4 linked regions of the Neodiprion lecontei genome follow. Each later gene encodes a partner of the first gene's protein in a complex. Links are inferred from orthologs where the notes say so. Each region holds a gene or a part of one and is shown in the gene's direction. Other genes may lie near its edges.

Evidence for each region.
Region 2: the proteins of integrator complex subunit 2 (region 1) and integrator complex subunit 7 are in contact, whole or in part, in a cryo-EM structure (PDB 8RC4), measured with the Homo sapiens proteins. The link is inferred for Neodiprion lecontei from reciprocal best matches to the Homo sapiens genes INTS2 and INTS7. Residues at the interface, in NP_065799.2 of Homo sapiens: Gln27, Lys28, Val29, Cys48, Arg51, Met52, Cys55, Ala56, Ala58, Asp59, Gln60, Ser61, Trp64, Phe92, His93, Ala186, Glu187, Pro189, Ile194, Val218, Asp220, Ser221, Asn223, Glu224, Ser259, Leu262, Lys263, Arg265, His285, Gly294; in NP_056249.1 of Homo sapiens: Leu38, Gly39, Glu40, Cys42, Glu43, Val46, Arg47, Asn77, Phe78, Leu81, Cys82, Leu84, Lys85, Gln88, Gln89, Asn114, Asp115, Pro116, Val117, Ala120, Ile121, Arg124, Val153, Glu156, Val159, Phe160, Ala163, Leu195, Lys196, Pro199.
Region 3: integrator complex subunit 2 (region 1) and integrator complex subunit 12 share a complex: the UniProt entries of both Homo sapiens proteins name them as parts of the integrator complex. The link is inferred for Neodiprion lecontei from reciprocal best matches to the Homo sapiens genes INTS2 and INTS12.
Region 4: integrator complex subunit 2 (region 1) and integrator complex subunit 9 share a complex: the UniProt entries of both Homo sapiens proteins name them as parts of the integrator complex. The link is inferred for Neodiprion lecontei from reciprocal best matches to the Homo sapiens genes INTS2 and INTS9.

What each region holds. Positions count from the first base shown.
Region 1 is NC_060262.1:33,654,102-33,663,740, forward strand, and holds integrator complex subunit 2, read left to right. Parts: upstream 1-2,413; 5' UTR 2,414-2,510; coding exon 2,511-2,794; intron 2,795-3,266; coding exon 3,267-5,359; intron 5,360-5,456; coding exon 5,457-5,661; intron 5,662-5,777; exon of another isoform or gene 5,778-5,981; intron 5,982-6,065; coding exon 6,066-6,372; intron 6,373-6,685; coding exon 6,686-7,138; 3' UTR 7,139-7,837; downstream 7,838-9,639. Other genes in the region: dual specificity mitogen-activated protein kinase kinase 7, read right to left, coding at 9,062-9,197, 9,408-9,639. UniProt on the Homo sapiens protein: Component of the integrator complex, a multiprotein complex that terminates RNA polymerase II (Pol II) transcription in the promoter-proximal region of genes.
Region 2 is NC_060266.1:20,109,649-20,119,311, forward strand, and holds integrator complex subunit 7, read left to right. Parts: upstream 1-2,854; 5' UTR 2,855-2,929; coding exon 2,930-3,020; intron 3,021-3,533; coding exon 3,534-3,853; intron 3,854-4,358; coding exon 4,359-4,583; intron 4,584-4,701; coding exon 4,702-4,951; intron 4,952-5,193; coding exon 5,194-5,267; intron 5,268-5,377; coding exon 5,378-5,523; intron 5,524-5,604; coding exon 5,605-5,950; intron 5,951-6,709; coding exon 6,710-6,969; intron 6,970-7,062; coding exon 7,063-7,266; intron 7,267-7,385; coding exon 7,386-7,479; intron 7,480-7,557; coding exon 7,558-7,661; intron 7,662-8,019; coding exon 8,020-8,521; intron 8,522-8,598; coding exon 8,599-8,859; 3' UTR 8,860-9,076; downstream 9,077-9,663. Other genes in the region: cullin-5, read right to left, coding at 1-402, 495-809, 1,088-1,229, 1,309-1,485, 1,583-1,792, 2,093-2,125. UniProt on the Homo sapiens protein: Component of the integrator complex, a multiprotein complex that terminates RNA polymerase II (Pol II) transcription in the promoter-proximal region of genes.
Region 3 is NC_060264.1:35,288,338-35,295,137, forward strand, and holds integrator complex subunit 12, read left to right. Parts: upstream 1-2,428; 5' UTR 2,429-3,132; exon of another isoform or gene 3,133-3,410; intron 3,411-3,794; 5' UTR 3,795-3,816; coding exon 3,817-3,975; intron 3,976-4,208; coding exon 4,209-4,577; intron 4,578-4,700; coding exon 4,701-4,776; intron 4,777-4,857; coding exon 4,858-5,150; 3' UTR 5,151-5,297; downstream 5,298-6,800. UniProt on the Homo sapiens protein: Component of the integrator complex, a multiprotein complex that terminates RNA polymerase II (Pol II) transcription in the promoter-proximal region of genes.
Region 4 is NC_060264.1:21,327,508-21,334,117, reverse strand, and holds the start of integrator complex subunit 9, read left to right. Parts: upstream 1-3,093; 5' UTR 3,094-3,216; coding exon 3,217-3,225; intron 3,226-3,491; exon of another isoform or gene 3,492-3,599; coding exon 3,600-3,794; intron 3,795-4,139; exon of another isoform or gene 4,140-4,174; intron 4,175-5,428; coding exon 5,429-5,833; intron 5,834-6,610. Other genes in the region: elongation factor 1-alpha, read left to right, coding at 158-514. UniProt on the Homo sapiens protein: Component of the integrator complex, a multiprotein complex that terminates RNA polymerase II (Pol II) transcription in the promoter-proximal region of genes.

The sequences.
Region 1 (9,639 bases):
CCATGCATTGGAAGTAAACAGATATTTAATGAAAAAATTTACCAAATTTTTTAAGGCGATACAATTACATAGACTGACTTTGAGCCACTTGTGTTGGGATTCAAGATCAAAATCTTCGTTCCCTGGTGTAATTTTATCAACATACCTGAATTGTACATACTTTTTATACATGTATGTATACATTTGTTAATTATGAATTATACAAATATTTGAGAGATTTACGATGTATTACATTATATACAATGTTATATCATAAATAACGTTTCTTAAGTTTAAATCAATTCTAGAGTTATTGTACTTGCATTATAATATTGTTGCTATTGTTGTTATGTAATATACCACAACCGCTTGTTGATTCTCACGAATAAATTATATGTTACAATTACGATTAACCATGTATAAATGAAATTACCATTATATATTGATGCTTGTAACCAAACTCGTTCTCAGCCTATTTCAATATGATCCTGAATGGCAATTTTTTTTATGCAATACAAAAGTATGGCAGGAATTGGCGCGTATTAAAATTACGAACGTTTTGAAGTTTTAATTCGACGTGTCAGAAGAACCGGCAGTGTATTGAATTGTGGCTAATCAAACAAATACGAGTCAAGTAGTGCCACCTGGATTCGGTTTGACCTGCCGCGTAAACGTGACCGTCGGTAAAAAGCATAGTAAAAAGCGCTAGACGAGACGCGCTGTTTAGTTTTCAAACTGACACTTTTGCCAGAGTTCCATAATGATTTATCCCTATTAATTCATTGATCCTGTTTAGGAAGAGAGAAACTTAGTGCCCTTGAGTAACTCTGGTTCACTTTATGAATATCAATTACAAACTGACGTAAATGAAAACTCGAGTTCGTTTGTTTTCGCCTAAATATTGAACTAAACTTCTCATCCACGTGAAAGGGATGAGAGTATAATTAATAACATAATAGTATACATAACTGATAAATAAAATATCGAAGCCCCCATAAAATCATTGTTTTTATAGTTTCGGGTATGTTGAATACTACAGAAGATATATGTCACTACTTTTGTATCATTTGCAAAATGTTATTACATTGAACATTTATTGGATTTGTGGTCAAATCTCAACCTAAATAAAGATATGTTGATTTTTCAGTGGAGTCAATGAAACTCAGTGACCTGAAACGAATTAGAATATAATTCGTAATATGTTAAAATAGAAAAATCAGTTAGAAGCAGGGGGAATTAATCTACCTTAGGCGGCCGAAAAGTAAGTGGTTTTCGGAAATGTTTTCGGGAGGGAGGAATTGAATGGATATTTTCTTAACTCTGGGGATCTTTTGTTACTAGTTTGAACTACATCTGGTAATTTTTTCGAGTCATTTGAACCACAATTGATTAAGCGAATCTTCATTCGCGTTGGCAATTTGGCTAAAACCTACCTATCGTTGAGGTGATTTCATTATCTAAAATACCCTTTGTTGATTGTAAAATAACTGTGAAAGAACGGTAAAAAATCGCACCTCCTTTTTAGAACACGCGTAAAACATTAAATTTTTAACTCTAATGGGTGGATTTAAGTTCATATTTTTAAAAATAATCTGAAAATTAAAACTTTCTGTTCAGTTAGTTTCAGATCAAAATTACAATCTTCGCAGTTATGGTTCAAATGATTTGTAAGAATTACCAGATATAGTGCAATCTAGTAATAAAAGATCATCAGAGTATAGAAAATATTCATTCAATTCTTCCACGTTGAAAAGACTCCCAAAAACCATTTACTTTTTGGCCGCCTAAGGTAAATTCCCTCCTCGCATCGCGTAAATTTTTCTTTGGGCCACAATCTATCATTCGCAGATTATACACCGATGAGTTTGGTACGAGTACTGCACTGTTCAAATAACGTGACAGAGCCTGAATAACGCTGAGCTGAACTCTGGCCTAAATCGCCACGTAATTTCGCTTCGGCTGCTCGGAAGCGACTGATGCTGCGAGGCGCTCATAAACAATTGTTTCGACCAGTCAGCAGCGCTAAGAGCTGCGCGCAATGCGATCGGATGTTTACTGAATTTCCGTAACACGTCGTTGTTGTCTTTAGCCAACGACACGGCTCGGCGTAAATGCCGTTGCAAATTTGAATGAATTTTTAATGTTTGTGAATTACTCTGTTTCGACCACTGCGGTGGCACTTTGCTATGGAAAATATGCACTGCACAATACACTGTCTTCGTGATGCTAAATACGGCAGAGTATTAGTCAGCTATGGACATACGTATTTACCGTCCCCGTAGCTCGAAAATTAGTTTAAAAAACCTATTCGGCGTCAGAGCTTGGCCTCTCTCCTCATGCAGGCTTCTCTGGAGGATAGCGTTAACCTTTGCTTACCGAATTGCCGTCGTCCACGGCGTCAGGCTTACTACTTCCTGAAAGCGACATAGCTGAATTGAAACTTGAAACGAGGTTGACGTTGCGTCTGCTCGTACGCGGATGTGGTGATATTTAATTTAATTCTAATAACGTTATTAAATAGTTGTTTAAAAATGCCAACCAACACTGCAGTGTCGCCCCGAGTTTTTACTGCGATACAAAATGTACATATCAAAGAACTATCGACGTGCTCTCAGAAAGAAATACGACCAATTCTACCCTGTTTGGTTAGGATGAGCTTGATCTCACCCTTGGACATCACAAAAGAATGCGCAGAAGGGAGAAAAGAAATATTAACGATATTATCCGGGATAGAATTAGTTAATTCCATCGTAGCTCTTCTATCAATAGACTTTCACGCGTTAGAAACTGACGTTCGTAAGGAACAACAATTGAGGTTAGTTTTTGTTAAGTTAGGTTATCCCAAACATCTGTCATAGATTTTTGGCACGCAAACAACAGTTTGTCAACAATGAAATCAAAAAACCTACTTACTGAAACTCTGTCTTACCTCTAGTTTTTGAAAGATTTACGGTAACCTGAGAATGGTCTTAATAGCACGTTCAAATTTTGAAAACAATTCTCTTATCATTCTTCTATTTGTGCTATCACTTCATTCCATTTCTTATCCATATTCTGGCAGCAATCTCTAGCTAAATGTTGTAATGTGCATTAAGATTTTACTGTGAAAATACACCAGAAATGAAAAATGTTTGGATCAAAGACACATTACCGATGTGTATATGGAATATCATAAATGTATTTCACTTAGGTGAAAGGCTTTGCTAGACTCTATTTCTAGCAAAGTGAAAGAAATAATTCAAAGTCAACTTATAGGAATTTGATTGATTCAATTTTATTTGTTTCAGACAAAAACTTGGAAGTGTTCAAAGCGACAGCATTCTTGCTCAGTCATTACAGAGCGGATTAGCTTTGGAATTCGAACGTAGTGACTCTACTCGACGACTACGCTTAGTACTCAGTGAGATCCTTTTTATAGCCTCTCAGATACAAGAGCTCCAGAGAAATCAAGAGTTTCAGATCAAGCAATCAGATTTATTTGATAATGCGGTTTACATGGAAGAAATAAGCGATGTTATTTGCATAGCCCTGGCAGAACTCCCTGCTCTATTGTCGATTCTAGACATAGCGGAAACTTTGTTACATGTTAAACATGGTCCAGAGATAATATGCTGGATCGTAGCCAACAGTCCAGATAGTTTTGCAGAGGTTTGTGCTCATCTGATCGCAAATGGAGAGAGACAAGAAGAATCTGCCTTAGGTCGAATTCGTACCCAAGCTTTGACCATGCTGTGCCAAATGAATCCCAGTCAGGCTTTAGCTGTTAGAGCAAAATGTGTTGAACTATGCCGCATGCCTGCACTTGCCATAACTCTGAGTCTTGAACATGAGAATATCGATAACTTACAACCAGAAAGCGACATGGTTGCTTTTGTGTCTGGATTGTTGCTTGGAAATGATCAGCAAGTAAGAACTTGGATCGCGATGTTTGTCAGGAATGGTCAGAAACGAAAATGGGAGTCCCATACAGCTCTGCAATCTCTTAGAGAAGAACTGCTTAGAAGACTAAAGGCAATTACTTCCCACAGCTCAGACAGTCAGTTGGCAGAGTCTTATGTTGTTCAAGCCAGTGCCTTGCTCAGACTTTATTGCGCGCTCAGAGGAATCGGCGGGATAAAATTTCAGGACGACGAAGTTGTCATGATAGTGCAATTATTGACTTCTCATCCCCCACCATCTCCAGCTGGGGTCAGATTCGTGTCTTTGGGATTGTGCATGCTAATTGCTTGCCCGTCGCTGATAGGACACAGTAATCTTGAAAAACGTAGCATAGAATGGGTACAGTGGCTTGTCAGAGAAGAAGTTTACTTCGAAAGTACAAGTGGCGTGTCTGCCAGCTTTGGTGAAATGTTACTTCTCATGGCTATTCATTTCCACAGCAATCAGCTATCCGCTATTTGTGAGCTGGTCTGCGCTACTCTAGGAATGAAAATACCCATCAGGCCAAATAATCTCACTAGAATGAAGCAGATATTCACACAAGAAATATTCACTGAACAGGTTGTCACATCTCATGCAGTGAAGGTCCCTGTTACAGCAAATCTCAGCGCAAACATCCCCGGGTTTTTGCCTGTGCACTGCATACATCAGTTGCTAAAATCAAGAGCGTTTGCCAAACACAAAGTACCAATTAAAAATTGGATTTATCGTCAAATATGCGACAGTGTACCTCCCCTACATCCTGTACTACCAGCTCTGGTGGAGGTATACGTCAATTCAATTTTAGTTACAACTAACAAAACCTCCGAACATACCAATAAACCGATCACAGAGGATGAAATCAGAAGAGTATTCCAGAATAGTGTTTTTGGAGCAAATTTCGATCCAAAAAAGTCTGTTCTAAATATTGCTGATATGGAAAATGATTACATGGATGTTGACACTTCAAAACCATCCCTAACGTCACAACTGTTGCTATTGTATTATTTATTATTGTACGAGGATGTGAGATTATCAAATATGCATAATTTCATATCACAGGGTAAAAAAGTGAAGTCGTATTCAACCGAGTTCTTATCTGAGTTGCCAATAAAATATCTCTTGCAACAAGTTCAAAGGGATCAAATGAGTTACGCAGGATTGTTTTCTCCTCTTTTGCGGCTCTTAGCCACACATTTTCCACATCTGTCGTTGGTGGATGACTGGTTGGATGAAGAGATGATAAATATAGACTCAATGACAGCTAATTACGACAATGTTGTAATTAATGATGTAGCAATTATCGAGGCATTTGGACATATCGAAACTTGCCCATCCCGAACAGGAAGATTACTACGTCAGCTTATAGACATGAAGCCTACAGATATTTGGCCACATGCGGAAACCATTATACATTTCTTCAAAGCAATATTGGACAATAAAGTACCAAGATACATTCAAGGTATAAATAGTACTTCACAATGATTCCTAAGTAAATCTTACCGCAAAATAATATACATGTAATGTTGAAAATTCTAATACTCAATTTAATTTTTCAGAACTGTATAAACAAGTCTGGTTAAGATTAAACACTGTATTACCAAGATGCCTTTGGGTACTATCAATCAATGCATTAATCATTGAAAATACAATGGTCAGGAATGTATTTCTTACTCAAGAAAACATTGTCCTTGACCCACTGCAAGTTTTGCGATGCCACACAAGAGTTTTTAGATGCGCGCCCGTCTTGTCAGTTATTCTACGGTAAGAAATATGAACTTTTTCATTTCAGCCTACTGCAACCCACTGTAATCAGTTTTCAATGCCTGCTTCTTTGGTGTTCTACAGAAATATTGTAAAATATCACTTCTGTTCAACAGACGTTTCTACGAATTGTTTTTCATACTTTCAACATTTGACATGACATTATTTCTTAAAATTTGGATTTTATTGCATTGGAAAATTTTCACCTCTTTGCAAGTCATGGATACGAATTCTTGACGTCCACAACTTCCTTTAACAAAACAGTATGCCGTTATAAGTCTGTGTGGCATAAGTTTGAGAGATCAAAGAAAGAAGCGTCGGTAAAAGGCTGAGTTGAATACAAATCCAGTATATCATTCTTGATGAATTAGAAACTGACTCGATTTATTTCTCCACTCCAACAGTATTTTGCAAGCAACATTAGCTGCATCTCGATCTCAGTTATCTAGACATATGCAGGACAGACCCTTAACAGAAAAAATTGGTCAACTAACCAGCGAAGCTGAAAGAGAGGATCTACGAACTGCTCTGGTTGCAGGGCAAGAGAGTGCAGCAGTACAAATTCTCTTAGAAGCCTGCTTAGAAACAGAAGAAGATCGTCAAGTGCCTGGTCAAATGTGGTCCCTAAGGGAAATACGAAGTGTCGTTTGTTCATACCTTCATCAAGTTTTTATTGCTGATCCTTCACTAGCAAAATTAGTGCATTTTCAAGTGAGTATACTTATTTTTTAAACCCTGGGTTAATCTATCAACTTTATTGAATGATTATGGCTATAACACAAGAAATTACCATTCAGTAATCGAGTAAGAAAATTAAACAGAACTGGAAATACTAGCACAAATTTCGGTTTGCTTTCTGTAACTGAATAAGCTCCAAATATCTACTTGGCTGATTGAATTTTGCCACTAACTTCGTGATGCATCCTGTTACATTCCCTAAACACTGGTTGAAGTATTCCTTTGCAGGTTTCCAGCCTTTGTAAATGAAACAAAATATTTGAAGCATCCTTATTTATGATTTCAGGGATATCCAAGAGAGCTATTACCAATTACTGTTTCTGGTATTCCCTCTATGCACATTTGTCTCGATTGGATACCAGAGTTGTTGTCGCAGCCTGAACCAGAGAAGCAAGTATTTGCTGTTGATCTAGCATCTCATTTGGCAGTTCAGTATGCCCTACCAAAAGCTCTGAGTGTATCACGGCTAGCTATTAATACACTGGCAACTTTATTAGGAGTTTTGCCAGCTAAAGGTAGAGTGTTGTTATTCATGCCTGTTTTACCAGCTCTTACAAGGATCTGTTTGGCATTTCCACCTTTGGCTGAAGATACAACTGCTTTATTGCTACAACTTGGACGAGTTAGTGTGGCCCAAGCAGCCCTGGGAGATAAATCCGCAGAAATATTATGTCGCGAGGTCAACAAAACGTTCGCTGCTTTGCTGCAAAAAGCAATTCTCCAGTCAAGAGTATTCTAAATTATACCATACACATGAAATGACTTGTACATACATTTTGTATACACATTATCATTAAAAATATAAAAATATAAATTAATATTGAACGAAAGTACCTTTTGTATTTATAAAGACAAATTCATTTTTATATTTTATATATATATATATACTGAAGTTGTTTGTGTGTGTATATATATATATATATATATGTGTGTATAGGTATGTACAGTTTAAGCGGTGAAACTTTATTATAAAATTTGGATTGTATTCAAATTACCTTTCCACAGATAATAAATCATCTACTGAGTTATATAGTCTACTTCCTTGGATTTTTAAACTTAAGTCACCCAGGAAAAGACTCCTAATTTTTTGTATTCTTTTTTACAACAAACTAATAAAAATGGAACATGTCAATTAGTACGATAGGCACATTTCATATAAAACAGAGTGTCGTATAAATATAAGTTTATTTACATTGCAAAAAATCCTCTTGCCGAATAAGCGACAAAAGTGATTACGAGCGTAGACTTCATCGTAGTTAATGTTAATAATATTATTTAAAAATAATAATTACATCCTGCTAGCTGCCACGCCCTTCCTTTAAGTAATATACAATGAAATTTATAGCGTTGAAGAGACGTGGAGCTTATGCTTACTTACAGGAGCCAGTCGATGGTCCTTGTCATTTGGTTTGCGTTCGATTGCTCAAAAATAGATTTACAATTGGAAATAAAAATTTATTAGCTGTTATCCAATCAGAACACTATCACCATGTGCTAAAACTGGCAAAGGATTTCATCAGGTTCTTTTCTATATTTCGAAATTGTAGTAATAACAAAATGTATAGTCAAGCGTGAAACAATGCTCTGTTAAAAGATGCTGAAAACCAGTACACGTAGTTTGAAAAAATAAACGTAAATTGAACTTTGTATACACCATTTTCTGTATCTGAGATTTATAAAATAAATAAAAGGTATACGTTCAGGCTAAATTTCACTCTCCAGAAATGACTTAGATTTTCGTAGCACAATGACTCGAGGTTAAAAATAACTAACGTGTGTCGACCTACGGGAACTTGATAGTGATTCGCTGCCATGAATCTTGATAGAGAATTTGATTTTACTAGAATTCGAATTTTTAACGTTGTCAATTATTGAAAGCAATTTTTTCTTGTACCAGGCCTGGTAATAACCAAGCCAACTGAAACTGAACTGAACGTGAGTTTTACAGCTGTGCCCTGTGATCTCGCTTTGCACTATGAAAATATTTTCAAATAGCGATGCATGCACAGTAAGAATGTTCACCACCTCGAGCTGCAGCACAGAATTATAGAATCTTTCAGAAATAACTATTAGACTATTAGTAATGAATTTGTAAAAACCGTTACATACATCCAAAACATTTTTTGGAAGAAAATATTGTCCAAACTGACAGGAAGTAATATTTGATAGAATTTTTTAATTTATATTATATCACTGAAAATCATAAAGTAGTATTGCACTAAAAAAGTAACAGAGGTTTTGTAGAATAACGAAAGTTACTACAAATCACTTCCTACCAGCCCTGCACTTACACACTGTAATAAAAATGAAAATAAATAAAATTACAAAAATTCATTATACCGCTTCATTACGAGAATTGCTGCGCAATGGAAAATTTATCTTTTACAATTTTCAGTGACTGTGCAAGTACGAAAATTCACCAATTGTCACCGTGATTTTAAGCGCTGTAATAAACTGTAAGTATAAAAGTTTGATTTTTAGTGCGCGATAGCCAAACGACTCATCTGATTCCACTATGGTTCCACCACTTTGTACATAGACTGCCCAGCAGACAGTTGAGTGTAATATTGAGTGTAAAATCGGTCCAGGCCGTGCGTCAAATTGGCAGAGCAAAATAGTGTATGGCACTGATAAGAGACCAAGTCTTTATAGATGTATTGGGTTATGTGGGTGGAGGCCTTCTTTGGGGTTCAGGAGTATAATGTAAACGGGTGCGCATGTGTTGCGGACTTCCAGGGACCGAGTTGCTTTCAGAAAGTCTTCTAGGTGGTGGCTGTGGGGGTGATGGCGACACATACCTGAATTATAAAAATTACAATAGTGCTGATTTCTTGCAGTTGCGATTTGCTTAGCTTCAATAAACTTTATCAATTGACACTTGTCAACCATTTCTTAATACCATTTGCCGGCTAGGATTAGTAGATCTGAACAGTTTCACATAATCTTTGGAGTATTAAAAGATATCAACTTTCCTGATTAATTATAACAGAAATATTTCATAACATTACCTTCTGGAAAATGAAGGTGACGCTGGATCCGTAATATTCCTTCTCAGTGCAAGCGGAGATTCTCCGCGATTAAATCTTGGAGGAGGTTCTGGCGAAGGGGCACGATCGCTCCCAAGTCTAAGCCTAACGTAGGAAGCGAATCGTTTTTTCGCTGATTCTTTGCAAACTCCCTGACCCTGTGTAAGAGGTGGAGAAGTTTCTTGCTTGCGCTGATGGTGCTGATGAGCATAGC
Region 2 (9,663 bases), on another chromosome or scaffold:
TATCGCAGTAATTTGCCAGTAGTTCAGGACACTTGGATTCTGGCTGTCCATTATTGCTGTTTACAGGTTTAGTTGGGATGACTGGAGCAGTTACACCGGTACCTTGTCTAACAGGCAGTTCAAGTCTGAATACAGTTGAATCATTGACAACTAATTTATATGCCTTGTCTCTGGCTGTGAGGAATCGCGGATCGTCGTCAAACGCCTCCTTAACCAGAGTAGAAAATCGTCTAAAGAGATCCAACAATCTTTCTACGTATTTTTCAGAGTCTTGGGTTATCACATCGACTGCTGCCATCATATCGGCAAGACCGGCACTCGCTATGTGATCTTCCAGGTCTTTTAACATTGGACTCACTCCATCTGGTACGCGATCCATCAACTTGAGCATGAGTCTGAGCTCTGTAAATAAAAATTGTGTGAAAAATTTGTAATGTATTTAATGTTAGCAAAGTTTATATTGTCTAAGATTATTAGTCTCTTTCTCAAATTACTTTCTGTTTCATGATGCTGAATCATGCGAGGACATTCGGCAAGGATGGCTGACTTGAAGGTAGCGACAAGTACAGAAACACAGCAATCCGTCAACAACTGTACACTTGCACTATTTGGCTCCAAATATTTTTGAGCTCTCAATTCTTCTTCTCTCAACTTTACCTCTGCATATCGCATGTAAGTCTCTACTCCATGCAGAGAAAGTTGCTCAGGAGCTTTTATTTTGTAAAATTCTTCCGTGGCTTTTATGTACGATGCCTCAAAATTATCTCTGTATATTTGCAGCTTGTCCATTGTATTTGAACACAGATTAACTGTAAGAGATAAAAGTGAAATTAACAATTAATCTTCAACTTTACTTTTAATTTCTTGAAATATAAGTCAGGATTTATTTTAACAAGACATCCTATAAAACGTTCTACATCAAGTTTTCCACTTCAGATCATAGTTCAAGTTTTGTTTGAGACAATATTATTCTTACAATAACTATTGTTGAATCAATAATGTGTTTGATTGAATTAATTGTGAAATTTTCTTTTTAATTCCCATTTGTTTTTACTGAAAACTCCTCTTTCACTTGCATAGGCCTCACCATAAGATTCTCTAACACCAATGACCAACTGCGAATCAAACGCCTCCCCATTTCTTTCCGCCCGCACCAGCTTCATGGCTGAATCCTGTAGCCTTTGTTTTATGTCTCCAAATATACTCTGGTTCCAACTGTCCAGCATCAACTATTGCTCAGAAATAAATATTGACTTGATTAATAAATCTAGCAGCAGAAATCCATCAAAAATAAGGAATGAGTATTACCTTTCTAACTATACTTTCCTCCGCTTGATTCCTTTTCTGTGTAGTAGTCTTTCCAGCAAGCGAAGTTTCCAGTTGCCTAAACGGTGTTGGCAAATAATTACATTGGGTAAAAAATTTGCGCCATTCAGTTATGTAGGCTTTAAGCAACGCCTGCTCTTCCTGATGCGCCAATACTCTCTGAATCAACGTAAGGCAAGGATTATAACATACATAAATTGGAAGCGAGTCACTCGCAGATTCCGAGAGGGAAAATGCTAATTACAACATTGATTACCTGCTGTGCTTGTTGTATGAAATCCATTATGTCCACTTTGAGAGTGTCCCTTAATTTGGGAGGACCTTTGTCGTCCCATAGGCAGACCAAGTGAACTGAATAAAATAGATCCTGCCATTCCCCTTGTGTAACAGCTTCTTGTTTCAGTAATTTCAATATTACTGGGCGCATGCATGGCCATTTTCCTGCGAAGCTAAACTGATTCCGGTCCTGCATAAATAGACGATGAAAAACGAGATCAGTAGGCACGCAGGTGAGAAATTTTGAATATTTCGTGATGAATAGTATCAGCTTAGTCGCAATTCACTCAATATCGGCGGTTTGTTCAGTGATCGAATTTGATTTTCAATGCCAGATGAGTCATTTTCAGTCGAATAGCTCGAGTATCATGGGAATTCGTTCGCCCAAAATTTGGGTCTACTCAGTTGTTGGTGATTGATATTTTCTCCGTCATTAGCAAAATCCCTTCACCGTTTACCTATTATTTGCGGTTATTTAATGACAACTAACCTTTAACATCGCCGCCACACTAGTTTTTGACATGTTATAACTAGTTGCTTTCCCCCATTTTCTTCAAAGCCAGCTGCAGCGAGGAGCCTGAGATGGCCTACACTAGCATTTTTCGTGTCCCTGATATCATAGCGCCCTCTATGAGAAATTCATTTTTAGGACTAATTTCCACGGTGATCGGTCGGTAAGCATGTGTCAGTAGGTGACCAATACTCTGCCGTGGACTGAACTCTGCCGTTGTCAGCATAAGATATAGAACACCCTGATACCCGGTCGTAGACGAAACGGACGAAACTGAACAATTTACAAACATTTACGGCCCCCGTGATTCTAAATACGGTAGAATGCTAATCGCTTACCGACATTCGATTACTGAACATGCACCTCGAAGATTTGTTCCAAATACCTATCTCGTGATTGATAGCGCTACAAAATAGAGAACACAAAAGACGTGCACGGTGGGCTCTCTCAGGATTCTCTCTGCCAGGCACCAGTGAGACAGCCCTGCAGCCATTTGAAAAGAATAATTTTATTTCGTTATCAGCGAACAATTAAATTCGATTGAATTGTTTCTTTGAAAACGGAATATCGAAAGCAATTAGTTAATTAGGATCGTCAGATAATGGCAAACATAATATTTACACTATATGGAAATGTCACTTCTTCTGGAGATTCAAACTTCGAGCCATATCGATAAACTGAAAATTGCCTAGGGACCTTACGGGTAGTAATTATATTTTGTACTCACTGCAGAAGTAAACATATTTGGATAGTGCCGGAAAAGAGCAAACGTTTTCAATTTCTATAAAACTGAAATAAAATACATCATTTTGTAAGATGATCGGCATGAGGATGAACGCATTCAACGATACAGGTTTAGGAGAGCCGGAGCAAGATGCAAATTCAGCTCTAATCGAGCTGGATAAAGGTAATTGCAAAATCAAAATTGTAGGTTAACTACTTTGATTGTCAAAGCTACCACGTTGAATTTCGATGGTAAGGCAGAAGATTAACTAAATTTGCAGCATCTTCGTAGTCTTAATATTCTCCTCAATCTTACTTCCTGTAGGACTACTCGAATGCTCAAAAATGTTAGAATCTTCGCCGGGATATGACGTGTTATTGAATTTGAGGTTAGCTTATGCATTTCTGGTTTTCAAACAAATATTCGGTGTTATTACAGAACAATTCGTATCGGAATTTTTATTCAACATAGATAAAACTCTATAGCATCCAAATTTAATGCTAAAGTTGATTGAAATTTTCAAACAAGTCAGTAATAAATTGTCGAACACTTGATAGTGATGAGAGTAACAGCTTGTGTTTACAGATGAAAAAATCTTAACCCTTTAACGGGCCGAATGACTGGATGATTAAAAATTCAAATTTCTAAACTATTCGGGAAATCTGGACATCCTGTGACAAAGTTTTAATGTTTTAGGTCTTCGGTCGAACAAGATAGGGGAGCAGTGCGAAGCTATCGTACGATTTCCCCGCCTATTCGAAAAATATCCTTTTCCAATCCTGATAAACTCTTCGCTGCTCAAGTTGGCTGACGTCTTTCGGATAGGCAGCAACTTTCTGCGCGTCTGGGTATTGAGGGTTTGCCAACAAAGTGAAAAACACTTGGACAAAATTCTTAATGTTGATGAATTTGTCAGACGAATTTTTAGCGTTATTCATTCCAACGATCCAGTTGCAAGAGCGCTTACTCTGCGTACCTTAGGCAGTGTTGCCGGGATCATACCAGAAAGACAACAGGTAATTATGCAACTGTCATTCATTCACTTATCTATTATATACGAGTACGACTTCCATTAAAGTATAAAAAATTGTGCTATAAAAAATGTAAAAACATACAACAAATTTTAATATGCATGTCCAATTATGTAGAGTTATTTATAACAAAGAGTAGAGAAAATTAAACATTACCTTATTAAATTTAATTCAATTAAAATAGTGGAAAAAACGTTTTGTGTGAAGCCTTAAAGATTTTTTGATAGCCAAAATGTTACCTATTAGTCCTAAATTTAAACCAAAATCTGTAAACTTTTTATTTTCATCTATTTTACGAAATCATAATTACTTTGATAATACTACGTTTAAACGTTTGTTAAAGTTAGCGACCTTTACTTATTATTCCTTATCTAAGTTTCCTTGTAAATGCCTCACCTATCTTAATATTTTGTATATTCTATCTTTCTTAAAAGACATTTAATGCTCGTTGATCTAAATAAATAAATAATTTATTGTCAATTCTGTCAAGGTGCATCACAGTATAAGAAGATCGCTCGATTCTCACGACTCCGTCGAAGTTGAAGCTGCAATTTATGCTGCCCAGATGTTTGCCGCCCAATCGAAGCTCTTTGCAGTTTCAATGTGCAGTAAGATATCGGACATGATTAGAGGACAAGCTACTCCTGCTACAATGAAGTTACAGTTGATACCAATTTTGCAATACATGCATCACGATACGTCAACCGCTTCGATGGTACTAATAATCTTACATCGTTCTTGTTTTCACATCAGAATAGTTGATGGGCAAAATTTTGTATCCAAAATATTTTGTCCAATAATCGTTTATTTCCTCTGTTTTCATTGACACACAGGTAAACGACTTGTGCATGGAATTACTGGGAAGTTATCCAGCGGTGGAATTTGTAAGGGTAACATTAAGCGCTTTGACCACGCTGGCCTCTGCCACTTTAGTAGACGTCCCAGAACAAGTTGCGTTGCTATTACGCTACTTACACGACGACCCAAGAGCATTCATTAAACGCCATGCTCTCGATCTTCTGCACTCTTTGGCTAGGAGAGGTGCGCATCTCTGGCCACAGGGAGCACTCACAAGTCTGATCGGTATGTTAGTCGATAAATTTTTGCAAATTATATTTCGTGACAGAAGTGATTCAGGATTATTAAAGATGATCGAGCAAATGAAGAAGTAAACAAGGCAGTAAATTTTATCTTCGATTTACGTGTGGACTAGTCTGGATGTAGATGAGAAGTAATGTAATTTTAAAACTGACATTTATGGAGATTCTAAATTCTATGGGTTTAAGTTTAGCCAATAAGTCTGATATATTTATTTCCTGTTAAAGATAGCACAACAACACTGTTACAAGATGGAACCGTTAACTCTGGTCTTCTAATTAGAACTTTGGATGTAATTGAGGTGATGTAATGTTTTTCATATTTTTTGAACATTTGCAAAGAAAGTTAGTTCCAAAAAAAGTTCAAGTGAAATCAATTGTAAGGCTCAAAACTAATTTTCAAAAATTACAGGTACTTAGTCAAAGTGCGGTAACCTGTGACGCGAATATGGAGAAAGATAGCCCGCTACTCTGTCTGTGTGTCAATGCATGTTACTCACCTGATCTTCTCGTTGCTGTTAAAGCAGTTACAATCCTGGCTAGAGTAGCTTGCTACTGGTAAACAAACACTTTATCTCTCTATTAGGAAATCCCGTAAATGCTTAAACTGTGATTAATAACGATTTTACATTCAACTAGTTACGAAGAAGGTTTGCCGGCGTATGGAGATGCTGACGTGGTGTCTTGCCTTGAGTCGCTGATCGTTTTGTTGGCGTTGGACGAGGGTCATCTGCGCCAGTTAAAAGTATGCCTGCGATCAACGGTGAAGCTGTGTGAGGCTAATCCGAAACATTGCCCTATATTCGTTGACGCCATTGGATCAACTCTGATAAATGCTAACACTGAAGGAGGGCAAGACAAGGGTCAAACTGTGGCACTGTGCGAAGCATTGGGGGCTATAGGCAGTTTGAGTGAAAATGCGTTGCTTCCGCTCCTTCCTGACATTCTGTTAAAGCTTGAACAAACTTCTCACGTTCACACAAAGGTAGCAAAAAGTTCCGGGTGTATGGATATTTTAATTGAGAGGGTATACGAGTAAGCTGCTGAAAATGATTTCATTGAATTGAGGTTTTTTTTGTTGAAAAATATGTAGATCGAGCTTTATTTAAATATTTATTGTACTAAAATCAAGTAATAGAAAGCATTTTTATTGACGATAGTGTGAACAATTATGCTCCTTGATATGTTTTGCAGTGTCGACGAACAATTAGCGACTATATCTCAGAAATGACTGAACCGATTTACTTCAAGATTGGGGATAGTATTCTTGGATAGTTTATTCTCTCTGTTACGATCCAACTTGTTTTATAATCATCATATTTATTTGTTGATTACAAAAAAAGTTTGAAATTTTCTACGAAAAATCGAATTTCAATTACGAAAGGTTGACGTTTTGTTAAACAAAGGAAAAAATAAATTTACAGTTATAGCAAAAAGGATAAATTATCCAAGAATGCTGGCTCGAAATTTATGATACATCGGATCAGCCGTTTTTGCAATATTATCGGCACTGCAAAAGATGTCATTAAGCGAAATGGTTGATGTTATTGTCAATAACAATGCTTCCATTTGATTGTAATTAAAAAAAAATAATTTAAATCAATCAAATCTACATGCTCTTAATTAAAACAAATTCCAAATAAATTCCCAAATTCACCCACTTTTTTGGATTTCTGCTCGTAGATTTCCCCTTAAGTGCAGTAGCATTGTTAGAATTTCGAAATGAACATCTTTTGCTTGTTAGGTGATGCTGTGCACTCTACTGTTCCAAACTGTGGCAGGTGGTTACGAGTGGAACGCAGAGTGTTTGAAAGCGATCGAGAAAGTCGTTGTTAGCGTTGACGGATGGGCAAAATACCGCATCGCTCGTGGAGCTGCGAGGTACGGCCACCATAGTGTGTCTACAAAAATATTTCAAAGCCTTAAGGAAACCGTCGCTTCTGAACAGTTACACTTTTGGCTGTCCGGTCTTTACTTGGTCACCAGCGCAGAGAGTCATCTGTTGTAAGTATCAATTAACAATTGACAAATTTCCATTTTTTCGTTTATTCTCTAAATTACAACGGAACTGACTGTTTGTGGCTTACTATAATTCAGGGACGACCCAAAAGAGAGCGACGGAGTCAAGAAAAAACTGGGCACAGTTGAAAGATTAAATGGAGCAATTGCCCGGTATGCTAGCGCATGTGCATCCCTTAAAGCAGCCAGCACACCATTACGGAGTCTACAATTCGCTAGCGAGTATTCAAAATTGCGATGTGAATTTCTTCAGTGTATGGTGCAGCTTCTACATTCCTGCAGGTCAATGTTGCATTCTGTCAAAATCTTACGCTGTGGCAAAGACGCATTTTGTGACACGTAATTTATTGCCAACATGGATTAATTTAGATATTGACTCAGTATATCTCTGTTGGTCGCAGGTCTCTGTGTACTGCTCCACCACCAGCAATTGCAGCCACAGTTGTTTTAGCCACTAGAGATGACTTGCAACGTTTTGGACGTGTTACTCAACAGGTGAATATCAATCGCATTATTTTTGGTAAAAAAAATTTATCTTGCCTAATAAGAAACGTATTTTTCCCCTTCAACCAGCTGAGAAAGTCTGCAAAAGAGTTGAGGAATTGCGCAGAGAATTACCAAACGCTTTATCAATCTGCTTTTGACGCTGATCCAGGATCATTAGCAAACATCAGAGCGTATCCTTTTTATATGAAAATCGCGTTAACAAGCCTAGTAGCCGGAAATCTTGCTTACGCAAGTGAAAACAATGACCTTTCTGATTTAAAAATCCTATTTATTATAGTTATTTGAAAGTGTATGAAATTTCAGTATTCATTTGCAATCAGTAAATCATCGCTTACAAAAATGAATAAAGTTTCACAGTCACGTAAGACGATTGCTTTAAAAAATATGACTTTTCGTCAAAAAAGAAAAACAAAAAGTAGTCCTTGAATTTGAAAAAGGAATAAAAGTAAGGGAAGATATTGGTTATCAATCCTGCCTGATTCAACAATCGGGTTTTTTTGTTAAAATTCCTCAATGAAAACGCTACAGTTTGCAAGAAATGTGTCGTTTGATGGCAAATAGCGTAGAACGAGTCTGTGGGGGTGTCGGAGCAGCGATGTGTCAGCCTAACGAAACTGAATTCAATTTTGGTGAATCCGTTGAGATGAGACAACTGGCACGCTGTTGCACAGAAGTGTACAGATTGGCGCCGAGCTGTGGTAGAGAAGGCGACGGAGAAGGAGGGGCGATTAGTCACGTAAGAGTCGGGTGTTTAATAGCGCAGGTGACGCTGCTGGCTGGGGGTAAAGTCAGGCTTCCATTGCCCCGTTACTTTTTCCAAGCACTGCAGGCCACCAGCGTGAAGCTCTCCGTTTCTCCACAACCTCGTGTTCTTGGTGAGCCCGTTTCTCTACCTCAAGGGAGCCAGCTTGCCCTCAAAGTTGAGGGTGTACTGAGACACGGCAGACGTGCATCTCTGTTTCGGTCCGTCGCTGCAGTCTGCATTTCCATATCCACTGCCCCTCCATCAAAAATCAACATAGATCAAAAGGTACGATTTTGTTTACTCCAAATTTTACCTGATTAGTGAAATCGGGACGATGATTGTATATTGCTTGTTGTTTACAGGATACGAATATGAACGAACTGCAGCAAACAGTGATACCTCACCGTGACTTCTTCGCCTGTGAGTTTCTACTCTCTTTAGGAAGTCCTGGGGCGGCAGCTGCTGTTTGTGGAGGCAGCACAAGCGGAAGCGGTGGCGGACAATATCAAGTGACTGCCAGTGCGAGTATTCTGGATAAAGCTGGGAATGTGTGGAAGTGTGGACCTCGTTCGACTCTTCAAGTTCGAGTGCACGAGGAACCTACAAAACGGAAATTACCTTGATCTGTGCAAAATACTTGAGATAAATTAGAGCAGAAGATGACAGATACTGCGCTGGAATAGATTCCAAAAGTAAGTATTCATTGTGTCTCCTCCGGCAAGAGAACTTGCATTCAATGTGTTGCAAGCAGGCTAGAAAATGAGGGAGAAGAATGTGTGGAGCTAGGTATTGAAATAATTATGAAACGATAGACGCTCGTGACTTCAAAACAAATTTAGTATGCCATTATTAAAATATATATATAATAGTATATTTTCTAGTAACGTTTCAATATAAAGTATAACATTGGAGTATAAAAATATATAAAATATATATAACTTGACAATGATATACGTATAGGTGTATATCAGCTTAAATAATGCAACAACAATTTTCGTGAATTTTTATCAACTAAATAAATCTTTTTTTTTATTTATTAACAAATCAATATTGATCTCTGCCAGCAAAAACAATTTGATTCGTTTGTTTTCCTCGTAATACTCAAGAGCTAGTTCAATTTAAAACATTATGTTCATATTTTTACTATATCGTAAATGCATTTCCAAATTACTACAGAAAGTAGATCATATTTTGCGTGAAGCAATTGCGATAATTCGATACCTGTTTCAGTCCAGAAAAAATAAATTGACTTATAACTGTATTCTTTGATGATGATAATATTAGTGCACTCGTAAATTAAATTTTAATTTAAGGTAAGTTAATCGTACTCCTTAGAATAACAGCAGCTAAGGAATAACAATGATAATAAACAAGTATACAGAGAATGTGGATTTTCTTCGATCAGTTTGTAAACTTCAATCTGAACC
Region 3 (6,800 bases), on another chromosome or scaffold:
TTAGTTTATGTCGGACGTAAAACGACTCGTTGCAAAATTCTATGTCACAGATAACGTGGAATGTGTAATTGAATTATATTATTTCTATTGGTTCTGTGAGTCCTTTGTGGTATCGGTTTTTGTAACGTCCTATGTAAACGTTTACCTATACTAAACAAATACATACACCTATGTATATACACTATACATATATACATGGATGAATTGCGAGTAGGCGTGTCTCTTTAGCAATAAGATGAGGTTTTCTTTACAATGTCTGAACAAAGAATTTCACAGATATTATCGGTACCTTGCGTTTATTCATTATTATCGTATCATATGTTATACCTATACAATATATATAAATGCGCTTTCTAATTAATTATAACTTAAGGTACTTACCAAGTATGCGTATGAAAAATTACAACTCGCCTCAGAAAATCGATAATGCTGATTTATTTGTTGATCTATTTTCTTCAGGAAAAAAGCAAGTAACTTAAGTCTAATATGATAATGATGATAATAATAATAATAACAACAACAACAACAATAATAATAGTGATAATAATACTAGCTGAAGATGTCAAGTCTCAAACGGAAACTTTTCTACAAGATAAAAAGGAGACATCGATGACCAATTACTTATGTTTCTGATTCAGTTGAGCTGGAATTCCTGCTTCGATTCGTATATTATTTGGCAACAAAAAAAAAAGTTACGACCACCTTTACCGTTATAGAGGCAACTATTCTGATGTTACTGAATTTTGTTTCTCATACGAGTCTTCCAGACATATTTTCGCCAAGATATATTGTTCTGAATTATTGTAATTCGTAAAATCTATCTAATCTGAGTTTCGTTTCATTGTTTGAAGCCGCGAAATAGATTTACTTCATGTTATTCGAAAATATCTTTCCTTCGAGTTTCAGTTTCGAAATTCTCAATAACGATTGATTAAACGTCATACAAATGCTTGCAATTTGTGATTTTCTTAAAATTGTTGTACATAATTTATAGCAAACTGATTAAGAAGTCAACGATTAGCTGATAGACTTTTTTTTGTTTTATAAACTTGTAAATAATACTATAATAATATTTTATAGCGCTATATACAAATAAATATTTGCGCTTATCTTGAATTATACACATTTAGGTAGTATTTATAATAGATCTGTGATTGTAATATTTTTTTAACTCTACCATATTATTTATATTATTGCCAACTATGCGTGGTGCGGTATATTGAAAAATTGTGGTTTTTGGATCAGTTTGCTTACGGATTTCAATTAGTAGATAAACCCTAGCCATAGTTTATACTTGACTTGCGAATACCGTATAATCAGTATGAGTATACATAAAAATTGTAGTTTGTATACGTTGTGTACATACATACCCAGAGTATTGTGATTCCCTGAAGTAAGATACTCGTGTGTGGTTCAACAATAACGTCACCTGCAAAGAGCGTCGTGTAGAAAAATGTATTTACCTAAATATGTATGCGTGTAGTTCATTTTCCAGTGTCATGCGATTACAGTAAAGAAAATTAAAATCAAGAAAGGTTTTCATGCGAGAGAATATGAATGTAAATATATAAAGAAAAATATATAAACGTAGTTGTATTGATCGATGTAGCAACAAGTAATATGATAATGACTATGATACGTGAAAGAAGAAACAAAAAAGGATGTAATTTGCAATTACCATCAACAACATCGATCACAATGACTTTACTTTAGACATACACAAAGTTTACCACAAAATTTTCATATAATTTACTTTACACAATTTCCTTAAAACGTACGACTGACTGCTTCACAATCATGCTATGGTCAACACAATACCCCGAAATGTTAATTTTTCAATAATACTATTGTTATCATCCTGATAAGACTTTCATAAAAAAAAAAAAAAAAGGAATACTTATAAATATAATATACATTGTACAGCAGCCATGCTTATTGCATAGCGTGAAACTGTTTGAGCATTTCGAAAATCCTAAGTTTCAACCTGTACAATATTTTTAATACAACAAAAATGATGATACGCTGTTAATATAATATGTAAGCTACATATTTATTTATACGTCGGCTATCCGTCTAACCGCGTGTATAAATATCCCTGCGTACTCGAAATGAAAATGATCATAACTTATTCTCTTCTAGCAACAAAATTGTACTTAACGTAAAATGTAAAATAAAAGATCTGTGTGTAGATATGATGCTCGTAATTACGCCCATATCGTCACCCTATTAAAGATTATTTTGTTATAAATCACATAACGCGTTATGACCGAAATTCGGATGTATTTTATCATGTAATTTAACATGTGAATACGAATTAATACATAACAAATCATACGATAAATCACGAAGTATAGATTATAAGATAAAATACACAACAAATCATATACCGAAACCTATGATTTCTCATATGATTTACGTATTTTATGTTATAATCTATACTTCACGATTTACTATGAGATGTAAAAATACGTATTAAATTGTATTCACATGTTAAATTGCATCATAAAACACATCCGATTTTCGGTCATAACATTATGTGATTTATCACAGAATAATTTTCAGTAGGGTTGATTACAGTACGAATCAGACCGCCGCTACCTAAGAAAATATGACGTCACAACAGAAAAACATTCATTAGGCATATGGACGTGCCTACAGACCAACTTCGTGCTACAAACATGCTCTAAGGTTTTATCATGGAGCAATATTAATGGTTTTATATATTGCAAATTTCAAATTACCCTCATGGTGTATTACACTACGATTACCCTTAGATTCTCGTCATTTTCTTCTCATGTCAAGTTTTCGAACAGAATATCTTTCGTGGACACTTATCGGTCTAGAATGAAAGCATTGTGATTTGCGATATTTAAATTGTTACCGCAATCGGTTAAAACTTTGGAACGCACCAATTACATCACTGAACTCGAACGAGTGCTTCGAACTCTATCGGCACAACAGATAACTCGCCGATACGATCCCCAGATGTCGCTACGAATATTCAGTAATCGCAAAACAAGAGACTAGCATGAGAAATGGGTGGGAAAACTCGTGTTAGTAGTAATAGTAGTATGCATGTACCGTCTTCTCAAGTGGTCTGTGGTCCTTCTACCCCGCATCCGATGGTATTGGGTATAGCCTGCCGGTTGTTTTACGCTATACTCCGTGGTTTTACGTTTTATATAGCGTTGTTCCATACATGCTCCGCACACATCAGCGTGAAGCACGTACTTAAACAGCACTGCACAGGGCCAATAGCCACAATAGCAGTGGCACGTTGATTCTGCACAGAACTGAAGTAGACAGAAAATACTGATCCAATAGTACTTATCTATCCATTCCTCGGTTTTTTTTGCAAAGATATTATTTAGGTTTTAAATCGATTTCAATGGTCGTATAATGTTAGGACGGTAATTATTAGAAACAATATATTATGTAGGGAATGACCTCATGTTTCTATTTAAGTCTGTTAAATACCGAAGTGAACTATTGTATCTAAAATAGCTTGGCTTGAAAAGAAAAATAAAATACCCTCGATATCAGAATTCAAAATCATTCTTCCACCATGTAAAACACATCTCCCTCATTCCTAAAACAGGAGAAAAACTTCAAATTGTTCAGTGAAAATTTAAGCAAATATGAGGAATTAAAATTATTCGAACCCCTCCTTTGTTTGATCACTTGTGATGCCTTCTATTTTTGAAAGGATCTCCAATATGATAAAAACATTGTCTTCCTTGTAAGATAGAAGTATAACCACGCAGCATATTTTATTTTTTAACATTTTTTCCCAGGTGAAACAGTGTTGCGATAATAATGTCTCAGTTGGATCTCGACCCTCAATTCATGCAAGGACTCCGTCTCCTACATTCGCCGAACAAGGATTCAGCAGAACAACTTCGGTCCCTTCTTGATGACGCAATCAGACAAAAACATGGCCCAGCGAAAATGCTCTGCAATGTTCTCCATAAAAAGGTACAAATAATAGATTATTTTTATTTTCCCAGTCCAGGTCTCAATTTGTTAATTGTTCTTGATATTGAAAAGGCACTGTTCAACAGCATAGTATCAACATTATTGTTTAATCGCTTCATTTCGATTTTAATAATATGCTATATGAAATCTTATCGATTTTTGCCTCTCCCCAAAAATTAAAGGATCAATCTTTGTTCCATTGCAATATCGCTGTGAATTCATTTATTTTTCAGTACACAATGGAAGAGCCAGTGCTTAGTGACCACAGCAGTGGTAGTAGCAAGAAGAGCAAAGGATCCACCACGTCATCCAAGCACTCGAGCAAATCGAGTAAAAACAGTTCACCCATCAACCTACCTTCGCACGACACTCCCCCAGATATTATCCAGACAGATGACACTTTCGCCCTAGAGATTCTAGAAGATGATTTAACATGCGTCATTTGCAAGGGAATGGATGTAGGGGCAAGGAACCGACTTGTGGAATGTGTAGAATGCCATTCTCTCTATCATCAGGAGTGCCATACGCCTCACATTCTGGATACTCAAATAGATGATCCGAGACTAGTTTGGTATTGCTCGAGCTGTTCAAAATCTCAACAGGTGGGTAAGGTTTTGTTTGAAAATTCTATGCCCACAGACATTTTTTCATTTTGAGGCAGGTCTTCTAATTGTATTTGGAAGCTTGGTTGACTTTCATTTTAATTATTCCTTCAACTATCTCAGGCGTCAAAGGACAGAAGTTCGCCGCGAACTATTGCCGAAGGAAAATCGAAAGATCACAAAAAATCATCAGGTTCCAGTAAGTGTACCAAAAGGAAGAAGAGTTCAATGATATTTTCATACAAAATGCTTGATTCCTTCGTTAATTTGATTTCCGTAGCCTCGAAGCATTCCGACAAGTACAAATCAACTTCTAGTAACGCTACCTCGTCACAGTCGAATAGTGGCGGCAGTACACCAACAGGTGCATCTAATGCACCAAAACTCACACCGAATATAAACATTGTCAGTGGGGACAGAAGATTAAGGGATATGATGAAGAAAGTGAAGCAAGAGAAACGCAGTAACAGTAGTGGTAGTAGTAAGCATTCTTCGTCAAATGCACTTTTATCTTCGTCAAAAACTGCCCAAGATAAGTCTTTACTGTTTAAGATAAAATCGGGCTCAGAATGAATGATAGGAATTAAATCCTTTTTTTTATGTTCCTCTCATGCCGAGCAATCTTGCTTCGAGAGCCGATTTTGGATTGAAAAAAACTCTGTATGTAAATGTATCGAAGTAAAACAACCTTTTTTTTTATTTAAAAAAGAGTTTATCCAATTCTGACCAAACTTTTATCCCTTGCCCCTTTTTTTTAGACAGGTATAACATGGTATGAAATGAATAATGGGAAGACATAATAAGAACGTTTAGTTTATAATACCAATATATTTTGCGATTTCTCAAATGTTTGTCCCTACGTCCCATTGAAAATTTGGCAAGAGTCGTTTTCGTTTGTTTGTTCATAATTTGTTTTTTTTTTTATCTCATTTTTTTTCCGAGCGTCACTTAGAACCTAGTAGGTGCGGGATTTTTGGTTATTATGTACAGGGGTGTCATGGGGATATATTAGCATGCACACACATATATACATATTTCGTAATCTAATAATAAAATATGTTCGCTTCCTATATCAAAGTGGTGTGCCTACTCATATTACCCAACAATACCTAAAGTATTTCCAAGTACCCGTACAGAGTATGTTCCTATTTAATGCTAATCCAATATGGTGACTTAAGTGATTTCAAGCGCGCAGCAATAAGTGAATATTGATTGGTGAAAAGTTTTAATTTTCGTTACCATCTGTACAAAATTTATAAATATTTGAGATATATGTATATTGTATGTATATATCAGCTGTAAAACCTATGTTCGCGTTTGTTGTGCACAACTTATATGAAAATTATAACAGAAACAATTGGCACATTTGTATAAAAAATGTACGTACGCGACTTCAGAATGTCTATATTAATGTATCTATATACCTTTTTATTTTAATTTTTAATTTTACTTTATATTATATCAATATGAACAAAGCTGTAATTGGCGTTATTGTTTTCTGAATCGTTTCATCTTTTCCTTTCTTTCATCTAAACAGCTACAATCATAAATAAGTTAAAATCATCATTTCGTACACAAATGTTAGTCTGTTTTTTAGTTTCTTCTCGTATAACACAAGCTGAAAAAGTACACTGTAACGGAGATGATGGACTAACATGAAAGTTTCAAAGTGATCACATTGGATATATTGAAGCCGGAATATGCTCTTGGGGTACTTTCAAAAAATTTTAACTCCTTGTGGTTATTTGCACGCATTCGCGCACTAAAGTAATTGTCTTCGGTGAGTCTGTCGTCCGTTCGTATCTGTGATCCACCCACTACGTAGCCGATTATTATGTGTGCACGTAACGTGTTTTATTTTTCACTTTTCGAGTAAACACGTACGTTGCTCGCACACGCTGCTGCAAAATATCACTGTCCAATAATGCAATTCAACCGATTCCTTTGAATAACGATAGCGTTAGCCGGTGTGGATAACATGTAGAAAAGTAAAAAATAAAAATAAAAATATACACATAAGACGAAACTCCAAGCATGACAATGTTTGCAACCGTCACAATTATAATAAACTTAATGACACAATGTCAAATGTAGCTGCACTATTAACGACGTACGTTCTTACAGTACTAGCTCATTCATAGGTATAAATAAATACAATACATAGAGAGAGAGAGAGATACATATGTTTGTGGCCTGAGGGGGGGGGGGGGGGGGGGGGCGAGA
Region 4 (6,610 bases), on another chromosome or scaffold:
CATTACAACTGCAATTGAATTTTGTATTTCCGATTTTTCGTGGTTTCGATTATGTAAATTTACGAAAAATATCTTCAAGTTAGCAATTTATCGCAGTAAACTATATGAACAAAATTATTTTCATTGATAACTAATTCTTGCTTATTACGTATTGCAGGTAATCGTGTTGAACCACCCCGGTCAGATCAGCAACGGTTATACGCCAGTGTTGGACTGTCACACGGCACATATAGCGTGCAAGTTCGCCGAGATTAAGGAGAAATGCGACCGACGTACGGGTAAAACGACTGAGGAGAATCCAAAGGCGATAAAGTCGGGAGACGCGGCCATCGTGACTCTGGTGCCGAGCAAGCCGATGTGCGTCGAAGCCTTCCAAGAATTCCCGCCATTGGGGCGCTTCGCTGTGCGTGACATGCGTCAGACTGTCGCTGTCGGTGTTATCAAGGCAGTCAGCTTCAAGGATGCCACAGGCAAAGTCACCAAGGCCGCCGAGAAGGCACAGAAGAAGAAATAACTAGCTACTATAACGGATGACCACCGTGAGGTGGCGCCGCCGCTGCCTCCCTGTCCCGTGTCTCAATTAATTGATTATTATTATTATTATTGCGATAGTAATAAGTCGGCTACTGCCGCTGCTGCTTCTGCTACCCTCATGGTAGTTAACGTTGCTGAGATTATGATATCCATTATTATGATTATTATGACACGGAGGACTGACGTCGCGCCATGCTTATTATTCACGAAACGTTGTTTATTATTTCTTTTACTATCTAAATCCGAATGGCTGATACAGCAGCACTGTTGTTTCCACCGCAAGGAATTTCGCAGGAAAAAATATTACCTATTGTAATAATGTAATAATAACTTTTTAAAGATGGCAACCGAGCAACATGAATTACTATCAGCAAAAAACATAACAACAAGGTAACTAATTGAACAAACTACAAGTGCTGATTAAATTTGTGTTTCTTTTCTTTTTCTTTGTTTTTATTTTTATTTGTAACGAGAAACCATCTGGTTAATTGAATGATTGATTACATTGGTACGGTGAAAATTGAAAATAAAAAAAAAAGATTTTAATTTAATCAAGCAGCAACGACGACGACGATATATCTTCTACCACCACGTGAAATATTACAAACAACAATATCATTGAATTTTAATGACAAGAAAAACAAATATTGTCAAACTTCTCGAAATAGTTGATGAAAAAAAACCGTCTCATTGGCAACTTTATTATTCCGACTTGCATAACGTAATTATTTACTACCTATAATAACTATTATTATTATTATTAATAATACTATATAGCAACAGAAACTTCACCCCTCCTCCTGTTTTCACAACAAACAAAACTAGAAACGAAAAACTTATTAATTATTTAGCTCGGCTTAATTATATTTTCTATCTAATTATTTACGGAAATAAAATCTTATATCGTGCGATATTCGAGAAAATAATGTTATTATTTTGAATTTTTTTTTTTTTTTTAACTAAACTTTGTACGTTGTGTCGCAATTAATGATTTTATTTTTCTCAACGCGAGAATCACGATGCATAATTTTATTTATATTTAAATGTACTTATTCTTATTATTTTAGCCTAATTTTGCTAAGTGAGTATTTAATCAATTTCCGTGGTAGTTGATAAAGAACTTATTTCGCTCAACAAATTGATGTAGGAGATGATTGAATATATATTTTCTAGAGTTGAGGTTTCAAATGGAGGGCTTTCTTGGAAATGAAATCTTGATTTGCTTAATTATATATTATAAATGAAAATTGGTTGAACGGTTGATTTTCAAAAAAAAAAAACGGACATACCATCGATGAGAATAAGAAAATGCAAAAGTGGGAATTGCATCGTGCTGCAGAATTGGATGAATACGAAATACAGCAAGGTAAGTGCGGTCTTAATCAATTCTAGTATAGTCTTCGATTAGAATTATTGCAAATAATAAGTCTTTACAAATTCAATATTTATATAAATTTACGGTTTTGTATGTAATGTACTTATATTTTATTCCTGACATTCTAATTATGTTCAAATGTAGTCCAGTTGATGGGGAGTAAAACAAACCATTGCACTACAAATGGTGGGATAGTAGTGATTGTCGTGTATGTATTTTCGGCCTTTGAGGAGAAGGGTCCGTGCGATTCGCCATCCTGGATTAGTTGCAAAAAATTGGTCTTGTTATAATAATTCCTAAGCGGTTGATCCTGCAACAAAAAGTTATTTAAAAAAAAAAACAAATTTTTGTACGTTTGATCCGAAATAGCGGATCGCGTGACCCCCTTCCCCCTACTCAGGAACACACAGTTACAATTATTTTGTAATCAAACAAATAAATTCTCATAAGTACAACGCTATCGAACTCACTCTCGCATGAAATGGATGAATAATGATCACCTAGGAGTGTAATTCAGAAAGGGATAAGAGAATCAGGCATTCGCAATTCCTAGAACTTTGACGTCACCGAGCGACTGCTGAACGCTAGATGATCCGCCAAACCGGAGCGAGCGGCAGATCTCGTCCGACCAGTGCGCCGGGTTCACTTTAGCTACACTAGTCAATTCTAGCGTCTTTTGAAATACGACAGAATTTGATGGAATACGGTGCTGACACACGGTGCTAAATGTGGTTCGCAAAGTGTCCCTCAATTCTGCCCCCAATTTCCACCACTAGTGGCGCTAGTAGTTAGTTGCCCAGCATGTTTAAAACACCGCCAAAACGAGCTGAAAAAATACAAGGTTAATCTATTTTTTAGCAAAAAATCTTTAGTCTCCGAATCAATTTGTATGACCCTTTTTTGACTAATTGGACCCCCAGAACACAGAAAACCCACTAAAAAGAGCGTAGGACCAGCAGCAGAGAAATTGCCAAGGAAATTTTCGGTTTTTGACTGTAACTCTTGATCTACCCTGGAACCTGTCTGATATCCTCAGTCAACAGCTGTCTGGAAACGAAGTCTCATTTCAATGAGACCGTGCACGTGTGCCAATCAGAAAGCTTCAAGCGGAGAATCTTCCCTACCACTCGAATTAGGTTTCATGCTCTCTAGCTAGTCTTCTGCACCATGCTTGCACCGTGTGGCCGAGTAATACCGAGGATTCGGAAAGATTATGCCTTGTTTTGAGAGCAAGATTGTGTTTTGGGTTAGAAAAATTGAAAAAACACTGGGAGAAAATTACGATATCGTCAATTCAAATCATTCAAATGAAGCTGGTAAGAATGATTGTAATTGCGTTATATTTCCTTGAGAATAAATATGCCATTGGCATAGAATTTCAATCTTCGAACGGCTTTCTAAGCTTCTAATTGAACATAACCTGACCTAGCCCCATCAACTTACAAAAATCCAATTATTGAATTATGTATCACGTAAAAAGATATGATTTCGATAAATAAAATACATAATAAATTTCAGAAATTCAATTATGACAAATAAAATGGTTTTTCAGAAACAAATTTCACCAGATAATCATAAATACCTTTTTGTTCTTATATTTTCTTGACAAATCGATACAACTACTAAGTATTCATCATATGTTTTTCTTTCTACATTTATTTCAATTTTATTTATTTCATTATTATTCCAGTACTGCCTGTCCAGCGAGCCGACAAAGCCATGCCTGGTCTTGAGCTTCAAAGGCATAACGCTAATGTTGGACTGTGGTCTGAACATGCAGTCAATTTTGAATTTCATGCCGATGCCCATGGTGCCTAGTGCCAAGTTCAACTCCCTTTCCAGTTGGGTTCCCAGGGATAACAATCAGGATTGGCAAATTGAAGGGGTAAGACCTACATTATGTCACTGTCTCGATTTTCAATTACTATTATAGACTGATGAATAAGAATTCTCGACCTCGTATGTAATCTATTATAGAATCTTGGTGATCGGTCAATTAAGTAAACGTATTTTTAGTTAACGTTTCGACCCGGATATGGGCCCTCCTCAGAACGATTTATTTTTTTAACTGTCAAGAACAACAAAAAGATTTTTTATAAAATAAATAATAGTACTAGAAGTAATCAGACTTAAATATTGTAGATGTAATACTCTTAGAGCTATTATATATTATTGATTAGTAAGAACCTTTTGATTAATTGAAATAAGAATGTCTTTAAGTGTTATTTACCTTTTTTTTTTTTTGAATTAAGTAAGTGGACTAAGATGTAGTCGAATTCACAATTACAATTGGTGGAGACAGTGTTCTTTTGAGTGACGGTAGTCAATGTCAATCTTCAAGTTATTTTACATGTGGGAGTTAATAGTTGGAAGTCATTAGTTAAAAAGATGAAAGAACTATGTTTCTTCACAGTCAGTATGTCATTGTGTTAAAAGGTTTTTAAAGAAGGTCTTTTTAGCCATAAAATTAATTCGCAAGTGTCAAAGAAGTGGAGGTAGGCTCTTTATAATTAAGTTCCACATGTCTAACAAAAAATTATTGTTGGTTGAACCGATTGAGTCAACAGGTGAATAACGACTGATGGGAGAAAACAAATATAATCCAGAGTGAAGGTGAACCTATTATAAACAATTATACAGAAAAAGGAAAGGACTGTGTAATGTGGACAAAAAAAATTTTTTTTGTATGTAGTAAAGGTTAAACAATATTTGTTGTGTGGGCGGAGATTAAAGGTTTGTAAATATTACTTAAATGCTCAACATCTTGTCTAAGATTAACAGAATTGGTGTGACCTACAATGTTGCACATTTCTAGTCAGTCTTCTAATAACAGTCTTCTATAATAATTGTGTTCTTCACAAAGGATGTTTGTGTTGTCGTAATTAAAAGTGTGTTGTTTATCGATACTACGTTTTGTTAGAGCTATGTGACGCTCTTCAATCTCATGTTGAAACTGTTGAAACTGAATTCCGATTTTTCCACCTTTCAATAAGTTTCCTTGGTTCTATTATTTGATGAGTAATGCTATCATTTTTCACAAAGAGAAAATTTGTAAATTTCTGAACACTTGTTATCAGAAGAATTGATAACTATCGAGAAACAAATGAGCCAAGGTGAAAGGTTGTTCGAGTACTCGTAACATCAAATTAAAAGTATGAAATAATCAATTACCCAAAATACTGCAGATTTATCAAGGATACCGATGAATCGATTAATTGAAACAATCGATTGAGTGAGAACATCGATGATTCCGTTAATCGAAAAACTGGTCAATCAAAAACATTGATGAATCGACTAATCTGAAAATCAATTAATTAAGAATACCGATGAATCATTTTATTAAAAAACCAATTCATTGAAAATTTCGGTTAGTCGATTAATCGTCAAACTGAATTGAAATATGAGTGAATCGATAAACAGGGAGAAGAATTAATCGAAATGTCAGAAGAATCGTTTGAAAATTCTAGACCCAGATGCAAAAATTGCATTAATGAAACTGGTATTTGAACACATTGCCAGGAGCTGAAAGAGAACTGTGGAAGAGTATTCGTTGATTCAACGCCAGAGTTTTGTCCACCGTTAGAGAAGATCACGGATTTTTCTGAGATTGATGCGATACTGATATCGAACTACACTTGCATGCTCGCACTGCCGTTCATAACAGAAGGTACGGGGTTCAAAGGTATAGTTTATGCGACGGAACCGACCCTGCAAATCGGTAGATTCTTCATGGAGGAGCTGGTTGAATTCATCGAGCAGACACCTAAGGCTATGCTGGCCAAACACTGGAAAGAAATGCTCCATGTTCTACCTCCGCCACTCGCCGATGCCATGAAACCCAAGTCTTGGAAGCACCTCTACTCTATGGCCGCTGTCAACTCTAGCCTTGCCCATATCCAGATGGTCGGTTACGATCAGAAACTGGTGAATATCAATCTATTTGTAGTCCATGGGACTGAATTAAAAGTTGGGAGCAGAGAAAAAACGTTTAGAAAATCTCCAGCAGTGTTGGTTGCACCAATAACGGTATCTACTACGTAATTGAAATGATTCCGGGCCGATTTGAATTGCACAAACTGGCATATCAACAATTTGCAAAAACGGTTTCATGATTAAGACGTTCAAGGTGCTCAAACTCTTGTGTTTTAGATCTGATCCTAATGTTTTTGGGTTGAGTTTATTCACTATAGAAATCTACGGTGATCCCTTAAAAAAAATATCGCTAATGGTTATCTCCAAAATCGATAAAAATAGATTTTTGTAAGTACGTTTCCTAAGATTTTCGTCCATAATTACATTTATGCGTTATAACTATTCTATATTATAAAATTTCTTGAATGTTTTTTAAACGAATTGTAAGGATCTGGTCAGTGAGTAAAATATCCTCAAAAACGTTAGAATCGCATTAAAAACAACATCAAAGTTCAAATATTTCGAACGTTCTATTGTAACATCTTTTTTCAACTGGTTGATAGCTTATGTTATTCGAATTCACTCAGAATCGTTTCTATCACATGGTGAAAATGTTGTTTCATTCGTCTTCACTATCATTAGCACCAATAACACTTGTGGAAATTTTTTGAACTATTTTTCCTCTTATCCAAACTTTAGACTCAGACATTACAGTACAATTAATTGCTCAATTATGAGGCCAATAAAGCGTCAAACATTTGAATCTTAGTATAATTAAAACCATCCCAC